Linked DNA regions of Schizosaccharomyces pombe. Each later gene encodes a partner of the first gene's protein in a complex. Each region holds a gene or a part of one and is shown in the gene's direction. Other genes may lie near its edges.

Evidence for each region. Proteins that work in one complex are often made in the same cells at the same time.
Region 2: the proteins of rpc10 (region 1) and rpb2 are in contact, whole or in part, in a crystal structure (PDB 3H0G), measured with the Schizosaccharomyces pombe proteins. Residues at the interface, in NP_595688.1 of Schizosaccharomyces pombe: Met20 (codon at 2,069), Tyr22 (codon at 2,075), Asp26 (codon at 2,087), Ala35 (codon at 2,167), Lys36 (codon at 2,170), Ile39 (codon at 2,179), His46 (codon at 2,200), Arg47 (codon at 2,203), Val48 (codon at 2,206), Met49 (codon at 2,209), Tyr50 (codon at 2,212), Lys51 (codon at 2,215), Met52 (codon at 2,218), Arg53 (codon at 2,221), Thr54 (codon at 2,224), Val58 (codon at 2,236), Gln59 (codon at 2,239), Phe60 (codon at 2,242), Arg63 (codon at 2,251); in NP_593101.2 of Schizosaccharomyces pombe: Glu91 (codon at 2,148), Glu103 (codon at 2,184), Arg107 (codon at 2,196), Val776 (codon at 4,203), Arg841 (codon at 4,398), Met860 (codon at 4,455), Glu862 (codon at 4,461), Glu883 (codon at 4,524), Asp884 (codon at 4,527), Asp885 (codon at 4,530), Leu887 (codon at 4,536), Ile888 (codon at 4,539), Ala889 (codon at 4,542), Pro890 (codon at 4,545), Gly891 (codon at 4,548), Arg893 (codon at 4,554), Ile937 (codon at 4,686), Asp939 (codon at 4,692), Gln940 (codon at 4,695), Val941 (codon at 4,698), Met942 (codon at 4,701), Val943 (codon at 4,704), Thr944 (codon at 4,707), Thr945 (codon at 4,710), Leu950 (codon at 4,725), Lys951 (codon at 4,728), Arg958 (codon at 4,749).

Annotation. Positions count from the first base shown.
Region 1 is NC_003423.3:1,673,724-1,676,833, forward strand, and holds rpc10 (DNA-directed RNA polymerase subunit Rpc10), read left to right. Parts: upstream 1-1,915; 5' UTR 1,916-2,011; coding exon 2,012-2,087; exon of another isoform or gene 2,088-2,140; coding exon 2,141-2,256; 3' UTR 2,257-2,465; downstream 2,466-3,110. Other genes in the region: ATP-dependent RNA helicase Cdc28, read left to right, coding at 1-26; pmt1 (DNA methyltransferase), read left to right, coding at 343-510, 555-1,379; ubiquitin hydrolase Ubp11, read right to left, coding at 2,801-3,110. UniProt on the Schizosaccharomyces pombe protein: DNA-dependent RNA polymerase catalyzes the transcription of DNA into RNA using the four ribonucleoside triphosphates as substrates.
Region 2 is NC_003424.3:848,837-854,885, forward strand, and holds rpb2 (DNA-directed RNA polymerase II complex subunit Rpb2), read left to right. Parts: upstream 1-1,799; 5' UTR 1,800-1,839; coding exon 1,840-1,855; exon of another isoform or gene 1,856-1,893; coding exon 1,894-5,510; 3' UTR 5,511-5,549; downstream 5,550-6,049. Other genes in the region: sst1 (calcium permease), read right to left, coding at 1-140; rps802 (40S ribosomal protein eS8), read left to right, coding at 684-1,286; ferrichrome synthetase Sib1, read right to left, coding at 5,687-6,049. UniProt on the Schizosaccharomyces pombe protein: DNA-dependent RNA polymerase catalyzes the transcription of DNA into RNA using the four ribonucleoside triphosphates as substrates. Second largest component of RNA polymerase II which synthesizes mRNA precursors and many functional non-coding RNAs.

The DNA of each region.
Region 1 (3,110 bases):
AGACGCAAAAACGACATAAGCGGTAAAAGAGTGGAAAAGGAAAATTAGTTTTAAAGGCGATTTGGTTGTATATAATCATAATGAATTTATGTTTCACAATAATGGACAAACTTTTAAAAGATCTCATTTAGTTAGCTTCAAAAAGACGTACAGTTTTGTTTAAGTCATCATGTTGTATATTAATTACTTTTAATACTAAAAAACATTTTATCGTTTTTGAAAAGGCCCGAAATGCTCATGACTTTTCAAGCTTAACAAATCCAAGCAAAAAATCTAATGCAGGTAGGTCTTTTGTAACCCTCACTAAACGATTACCGAGTGTTGCATGCTCGGTTACATTCAATGCTTAGTACAAAAAGATTACGGGTCCTGGAGCTATATTCTGGTATTGGAGGTATGCACTATGCATTGAACCTGGCAAATATACCGGCTGATATTGTGTGTGCAATAGATATCAACCCACAGGCAAATGAAATTTATAACCTCAATCATGGAAAACTTGCTAAACACGTATGTTTCAAGGATTTACTCGATAACTATATTAATACTTATAGATGGATATTTCAACTTTAACGGCCAAGGATTTTGATGCATTTGACTGTAAATTATGGACTATGAGTCCCAGTTGTCAACCTTTTACTAGAATAGGAAACCGTAAAGATATTCTTGATCCTCGTTCCCAAGCATTTCTAAATATTTTAAATGTGCTTCCTCATGTAAATAATTTGCCTGAGTACATTCTAATTGAGAATGTTCAGGGTTTTGAGGAGAGCAAGGCAGCTGAAGAGTGCAGGAAAGTTTTGAGGAATTGTGGTTACAACCTAATTGAAGGTATTTTGAGTCCAAACCAGTTCAACATTCCTAATTCTCGCAGTAGATGGTATGGATTGGCTAGGCTCAATTTCAAAGGAGAATGGAGTATTGATGATGTTTTTCAATTTAGCGAGGTAGCGCAAAAAGAAGGCGAAGTAAAAAGAATAAGAGATTATTTGGAGATAGAAAGAGATTGGTCTTCATATATGGTACTAGAGTCTGTGTTAAATAAATGGGGCCATCAGTTTGATATAGTTAAGCCAGATAGCTCTTCCTGCTGTTGCTTTACACGGGGATATACACATTTAGTACAAGGTGCAGGCTCAATTTTGCAGATGTCAGATCATGAAAATACGCACGAGCAATTTGAGAGGAACCGGATGGCTTTACAACTTCGGTATTTTACCGCCAGAGAAGTCGCCAGGTTAATGGGATTCCCGGAAAGCCTCGAATGGTCAAAGTCTAATGTAACCGAAAAATGTATGTATCGCTTATTAGGAAATAGTATAAACGTTAAAGTTGTTTCATACTTGATTTCTCTATTACTGGAACCTCTAAATTTCTAAAAGCGGTTAGAAGTCAAAACTATTTTTTTAAAATGAAAGGAAAATTAATATTACTCGATAAAAGTTCTGCAAAAAAAGGCACTTATTTCAATTGGAATTACCCTTTAATGCATACAGTGTTTCTGAATGCTTTATATAACTAATTACCAGGACTAATTTCAAGACAAAGAAATCGTATATTTATACACTAAAAATTGGAGAACTCGGGGAATACATTATTTTTGAGCTATTGTATTTATCCTCACACGTACACATAATTGTTATGAAATATAAATTAAACAATCTAGTTATTTATCGATTTAAATTTAAAATTATGTATCCAGCCCTTTATTCTTTTGCTAGATTTAATAAAGGTTAAATTTAAAAGAACGTCAAAATTAGATACGAAATTATATTTGAAGTTTATATATCCAATAAATGGAAATGTACTTGAAGTACTTTAAATGAGAACTTTTAACTCATTAATGTATTATAAGATTAGCTTCCCAATTTTTTTTGAAGCGTTAATATTGAGAATAGTATGGTAGTAAAAATTTGCGCGCTACTACTCACCACCACAATTAGAAAGTTCAAGTGAGGAAGTAAAATCACAGGATTTAACTAGACTCAAATACACTAAAAAAGTTTACAAAATGAATCATCCAACCTCCACTGGCGGTACCGCTTTCAATCCCCCCAGACCAGCCACTATGATTTATTTATGTGCGGGTATGATCATTGAGTAGAATTAAATGAGTATATGATAAAAGACTGACCATCAGATTGCGGAGCGCGTAATACAATCCAAGCGAAAGAAGTTATTCGTTGTCGAGAGTGTGGGCATCGTGTTATGTACAAAATGAGAACCAAGAGAATGGTTCAGTTCGAAGCACGCTAAGTTTTAGAGTTTTCAGACTATGAAAAGAGAAAAACGGAATTATAACTTTTAAAATTTGAGAAATGGCTTAAAAATGGTGTAATATGCAGGTCCTTATGCTTAATTCGAGAAATTAGAAGGTCCTGGGGTTAAATGGATAACCCATGACAATAATAACATTTTGGATATTTGATGCATTAAAAACTGTGAATTGTACATGATGAGTATATCTAAAATTTTTTTTAGTAAATTATAAGTCATTTGGCGACGGTTTGAAAGTGCCATGTGTACTTTAACCATGCCTATAAAAAATCGTCCACTTGAAAATCTTAAAGTCAAGAAAACCGATTTTATGGACAGATACGGTGGATACATACATACATATATTTTCATACACAAGTTTTGCAAAATATTAGTATTGAATGCTTTAGCTACAAAACAACAGGTTATAATTTGAAGCTTTCAACAGTTTATAAAGGGTGACATCAGTCGGAATCATTAGGAGAAATATCAAGAATTTTTTATTAAGGTACAAAAACGTATACGATTAACTAGCATATATGCGCTAATCAAGCGCAAGAGGAGATTCCATTTCGTAAAACAAAAGACAAGCTGAACGAGTTTGACTGAGAGCTTCATTGAGAGATGATTTAGTAATTAAAGAATCATTAGCCTTCCACCAAATGTCATCTTGAAGTCTATAGCAAAGATAATGACCATAAGTAACACTTCCGGAATGGGTGATTAAGGATCGTAAAATATAATGATGTTTGTTTTTTAGGATAAGTTTGCTAGGAAATGAGATAGAAACATTATTTCTGGTTAAACCTTGGCAGGTATATGATGTTCTCTCAAGTTGAATTTGCAAAATCGTA
Region 2 (6,049 bases), on another chromosome or scaffold:
GGCATTAAGAAATCGCCGAATCGCAGATTCTGTTCATAAACTGAAGAAGAAGGAGTTTCTTCTGGTCTATCAGCCCGTCGACCCTGGGTAATGGTTTCCGCAGAGCTCTCAGATTGATTTATATCAGCAGGTTGAGACATTGTAGGCGGTAGTAATTGTCACAATGATTACTTTTCCGAATCAAACCCTCGCCAAATATTCTATCCCTTAAAACACCTGTACGTAGCTAAGAGGATTGAGTAAATAGGTATTTATAAAAAATTGTTGAAGGAATAGTGAGAAAGGAAGGCATGATTGGAAAGGTTGCGATCATTTTCTATTACGCATATCATAATCAGAATACCAAATTGAAAAAAAGAACGCCAATTCTACAATATCGAAGTCCTCCCATTAGTTCGTTAATGAGCATACAATGTTTACTTCGTTAAAGATTGTCGGGATGAATTGAGCTTAATCAGAGCCGAGCATCGTTGTACAGTTTACTAAATGTAGAGCTAAGCGATAATACGCTAACTTACGGTATCGGTTTTTGTAAGAATACACCGAATTTCGTTAAGTACAAAGTATTAGTAGTAGTATGAAACAAAAATAACAGTCACAGCCAAACCCAAACAATTTCAGTTACTGTGTTATATACTAGTTCATCGTAACCACAGCAAATCTCTTTCTGCAAAAGGATCAGGATGGGTATTACGAGAGATTCCCGCCACAAGCGCTCTGCTACCGGTGCTAAGCGTGCTCAATACCGTAAGAAGAGAAAATTCGAGTTGGGTCGTCAACCTTCCAACACTCGTATTGGACCTAAGCGTATCCATGAGGTTCGTGTTCGTGGTGGAAACAAGAAGTTCCGTGCTCTTCGTCTTGACTCTGGTAACTTCTCTTGGGGCTCTGAAGGTGTTTCCAAGAAGACTCGTATCATTCAAGTCGCCTACCACCCTTCTAACAACGAGTTGGTTCGTACCAACACTTTGACCAAGTCGGCCATCGTCCAAATTGATGCCGCTCCTTTCCGTGTTTGGTATGAAACTCACTACGGTATTTTGATGGGAAGCAAGGGTAAGAAGGCCACTGCTACACCTACTCCCAAATCCAAGCATGTTCAACGTAAGCATAGCGCTCGTCTTGGCGATTCTAAGGTTGATTCCGCTTTGGAAACTCAGTTTGCTGCTGGCCGTTTGTATGCTGTAGTTTCCTCTCGCCCTGGTCAATCTGGTCGTTGCGACGGCTACATCCTTGAAGGTGAAGAGTTACATTTCTACCTTCGTCGTATGGCTCCTAAGAAATAAGGTTGTTTCTTCAATAAATTAGTTCATAAAGGAAGGAATAAAAGGATTCCGAGATTGTTGTATTTCACCTGTATTGTTGATTATTATCAGTAACCAAGGTCGTTAATTATGTAGAGAAGGTAATTTTTATTATTGGCATTTAGAAAAGTGTCTGCTAAATGTTTAGTAATCTCTCCATTTGTCCCAATCAGTAATTGAAATTCGTTTATGTGCTATTAGATATGATTTCTTTACTAAATCTCATTGAACTACGTTTAGTGAAGCCTTTACCTTTTTAATAAAAATTCACGCTAAGTAGCCTTTTACACATAATGAAAGAGTTGCGAATTGCTTTGAAAGGAAAATGGCCTTTCACGTACCTTAGCTATATTGAATGATTAAAACAAGTAAAAGATATAAAAAAACTGGTTCTTTTTTTGATGCTTAAAGACTTTTTTACTGAACACAAAGTCGAATTGCCACTACGGTACGATATCCTTGTTACGGTAGCCTCAACATTTATTCCTCTTCCTCACCGCCAACATATCCTGTTGCGTGTGCCATTTCAACAACAATGTCTTATGAGGATTGTAAGTTACTAATAAAGTCATTTTTAACACCATAATAGATCAATACAATGAGACATTGACTCAGGAGGATTGTTGGACCGTGATCTCGTCGTTTTTTGAGGAAACGTCGTTAGCTCGGCAACAATTGTTCTCTTTCGATGAGTTTGTTCAAAATACTATGCAAGAAATTGTTGATGATGATTCCACTTTAACTCTAGATCAATATGCACAACACACGGGTGCTCAAGGAGATGTTACACGTCGATACGAAATAAATTTTGGACAGATTTATCTTTCAAGGCCTACAATGACTGAAGCTGATGGTAGTACAACTACTATGTTTCCTCAAGAGGCGAGGCTTCGTAACTTGACTTACTCGTCTCCTTTATACGTTGACATGCGTAAAAAAGTTATGGTTGCTGCCGATTCTAATGTTCCCATCGGCGAAGAGGAGTGGCTTGTTGAAGAAGAGGATGAAGAACCCTCAAAAGTTTTTATTGGAAAGATACCAATCATGCTCCGTTCTACTTTTTGCATTTTAAATGGTGTTAGTGATTCTGAATTGTACGATTTGAATGAGTGCCCTTATGATCAGGGAGGATACTTTATTATCAATGGCTCTGAAAAGGTAATCATTGCTCAAGAGAGATCTGCTGCCAATATTGTACAAGTATTTAAAAAAGCCGCTCCGAGCCCCATCGCTTACGTTGCTGAAATTCGCTCTGCTTTGGAACGAGGTAGTAGGCTTATTTCTTCTATGCAGATTAAGTTAATGGCACGTAATACTGAGAATTCTGGTCAGACAATTAGAGCAACACTTCCATATATCAGGAGTGACATTCCTATCGTCATCGTGTTCCGTGCTCTTGGAGTTGTACCTGATCGTGATATTTTGGAACATATATGCTACGACCCAAATGATTTCCAAATGCTTGAAATGATGAAGCCCTGTATCGAAGAAGCATTTGTGATTCAAGATAAAGATATAGCTTTGGATTACATTGGTAAAAGAGGCAGTACTACTGGTGTTACGCGTGAAAAACGTCTTCGATATGCCCATGACATTTTACAGAAAGAGCTGCTTCCGCATATTACTACAATGGAAGGTTTTGAGACTAGAAAGGCGTTTTTCTTAGGTTACATGATCCATCGTATGCTTTTGTGTGCGTTAGAGCGTCGTGAACCAGATGATCGAGATCATTTCGGGAAAAAGCGTCTTGACCTTGCAGGTCCATTACTTGCATCTCTGTTCCGTATGCTCTTTCGTAAAATGACTCGCGATGTGTATAAGTATATGCAGAAATGCGTTGAAACAAATCGTGAATTCAACCTTACCCTGGCTGTGAAGTCAAACATTATTACCAATGGTTTACGTTATTCATTGGCTACTGGTAATTGGGGAGACCAAAAACGCAGTATGGTTAATCGGGTTGGTGTATCACAAGTTCTTAACCGATATACATTCGCTTCAACTTTATCACATTTAAGACGTACAAATACTCCTATCGGTAGAGACGGAAAATTGGCTAAACCCCGTCAGTTGCACAACACACACTGGGGTATGGTTTGCCCTGCTGAAACACCAGAAGGACAAGCTTGCGGCTTAGTCAAAAATTTGTCTCTAATGAGCTATGTTTCCGTAGGTTCACCCAGTGCTCCAATTATCGAGTTTTTAGAAGAATGGGGTTTAGAAACACTGGAAGATTACAACCCTTCAGCGTCTCCTAATGCAACAAAGGTCTTCGTGAATGGTGTGTGGTTAGGAGTACATCGTGATCCAGCTCATTTAACAGAGACGCTACGCAGCCTTCGTCGTAGATTGGACATATCTGCAGAGGTTAGTATCGTTCGCGATATCCGTGAAAAAGAGCTTCGTCTCTTTACAGATGCAGGTCGTATTTGTAGACCATTATTTATTGTGGATAACAATCCTAATAGTGAAAGAAGAGGAGAGTTATGTATTCGTAAAGAGCATATCCAACAACTAATAGAGGATAAAGACAGATATGACATTGACCCCGAACAACGCTTTGGATGGACCGCTTTAGTATCTAGTGGTCTCATTGAGTATCTAGATGCAGAAGAAGAGGAGACGGTTATGATAGCAATGAGTCCGGAAGATCTTGAAGCATCACGTCAAATGCAAGCTGGGTATGAAGTTAAGGAAGAACTGGATCCTGCACAAAGAGTTAAGCCAGCTCCTAATCCTCATGTGCATGCTTGGACCCATTGTGAAATACATCCTGCGATGATTCTTGGCATCCTTGCTAGTATTATCCCTTTTCCTGATCATAATCAATCACCTCGTAATACTTATCAATCTGCAATGGGTAAACAGGCTATGGGAGTTTATCTTACAAACTACCAAGTACGAATGGATACCATGGCAAATATCCTATACTATCCACAGAAGCCGTTGGCGACTACTCGATCGATGGAGTACCTAAAGTTCCGTGAACTTCCTGCTGGCCAGAATGCTATTGTCGCCATTCTATGTTATAGTGGCTATAACCAAGAAGACTCCATTATTATGAATCAAGCTAGTATTGATCGAGGATTATTCCGCAGTATTTTCTACAGAACGTACACGGACCAAGAAAAGAAAATTGGCATGACTGTTATGGAGGAGTTTGAACGGCCGGTCCGGTCTACAACCCTAAGGATGAAACACGGTACGTACGACAAGCTTGAGGATGATGGTTTAATTGCTCCTGGCACTCGAGTGTCAGGCGAAGATATTATTATTGGTAAAACAGCTCCAATTCCCCTAGATCATGAAGAATTAGGTCAACGTACTCAGTTACATGCAAAGCGTGACGTTTCCACTCCTTTGAGAAGCACTGAAAGCGGTATTGTTGACCAAGTAATGGTCACCACTAACCAAGAAGGCTTAAAATTTGTTAAAGTTAGAATGCGAAGTACTCGTATACCCCAAATTGGTGACAAATTCGCGTCAAGGCATGGTCAAAAAGGTACCATTGGAATGACATATCGTCATGAAGATATGCCATTTTCTGCACAAGGAATTGTTCCTGATATCATCATTAATCCACACGCCATTCCGTCTCGTATGACAGTTGCTCATTTAGTCGAATGTCAACTTAGCAAGGTTTCTGCTTTATCTGGTTTTGAAGGTGATGCCACACCTTTTACAGACGTTACGGTTGAAGCGGTTTCTAAGCTGTTACGTTCACATGGCTTTCAGTCGAGAGGATTTGAAGTTATGTACCATGGTCATACTGGTAGGAAGCTTGTTGCCCAAGTTTTTCTTGGTCCCACATACTATCAGCGTCTAAAGCATTTGGTGGACGATAAAATTCACGCTCGTGCTAGAGGACCTGTGCAAATTTTGACTCGTCAACCCGTTGAAGGCAGATCTAGAGATGGTGGCCTTCGTTTTGGAGAAATGGAACGTGATTGCCAAATTTCTCATGGTTGTAGTAGTGTATTACGAGAACGTTTGTTTGATTGTTCTGATGCGTACCGAGTTATAGTATGCGATATTTGTGGTTTGATAGCGATCGCCAGTTACAAAAAAGACTCATATGAATGCCGATCATGTCAAAATCGTACTCGGTTTAGTCAAGTTTATTTACCGTATGCTGCCAAGCTTTTATTCCAAGAATTGATGTCGATGAATATTGCACCGCGGTTATTTACTAAAAACCATAAGTAGTTTTGCTTATTTGAATAAATTAATACATAAACATAGCATGAACATACAGAAGGATGATCGGTGTGATCTTAAAGAAGCTATCATTTATTTACATAAGCTACTTAAATTGTGTTCTAACAGATATATATATTATTTATATAATAATAATGTAGTTGTTACCTAATTTCGGCTTCAATTTAAAGTTCAATTTCCTTAATAATTGTAACAAAATTGTTTATAAAAACACTGGCTTCTCTTTTGGAAAATATAGACGATTGGCAGAAAAGACCAATTTCGAGGTAACCATCTCGAATTGCCAACTCAAAATCTAACTTGGGTTTGTTTCCAAACAAAATTTCACAACCATCAATGGTGGTTTCAACTTCGTTAATCTTTAGTTCCGCATTGTTGAGTTTCAACGGGTATACGCTGAAAACTTTACTTGGTTCATTGTTATCACCAGTTGACAAGAAATTTACTGCGATATCCATCATGCCATGAACAGGGAGATCCAGCAAAGATATGTATTGTAGGTTTCCCGAAATCTCATTCAAAAAAGA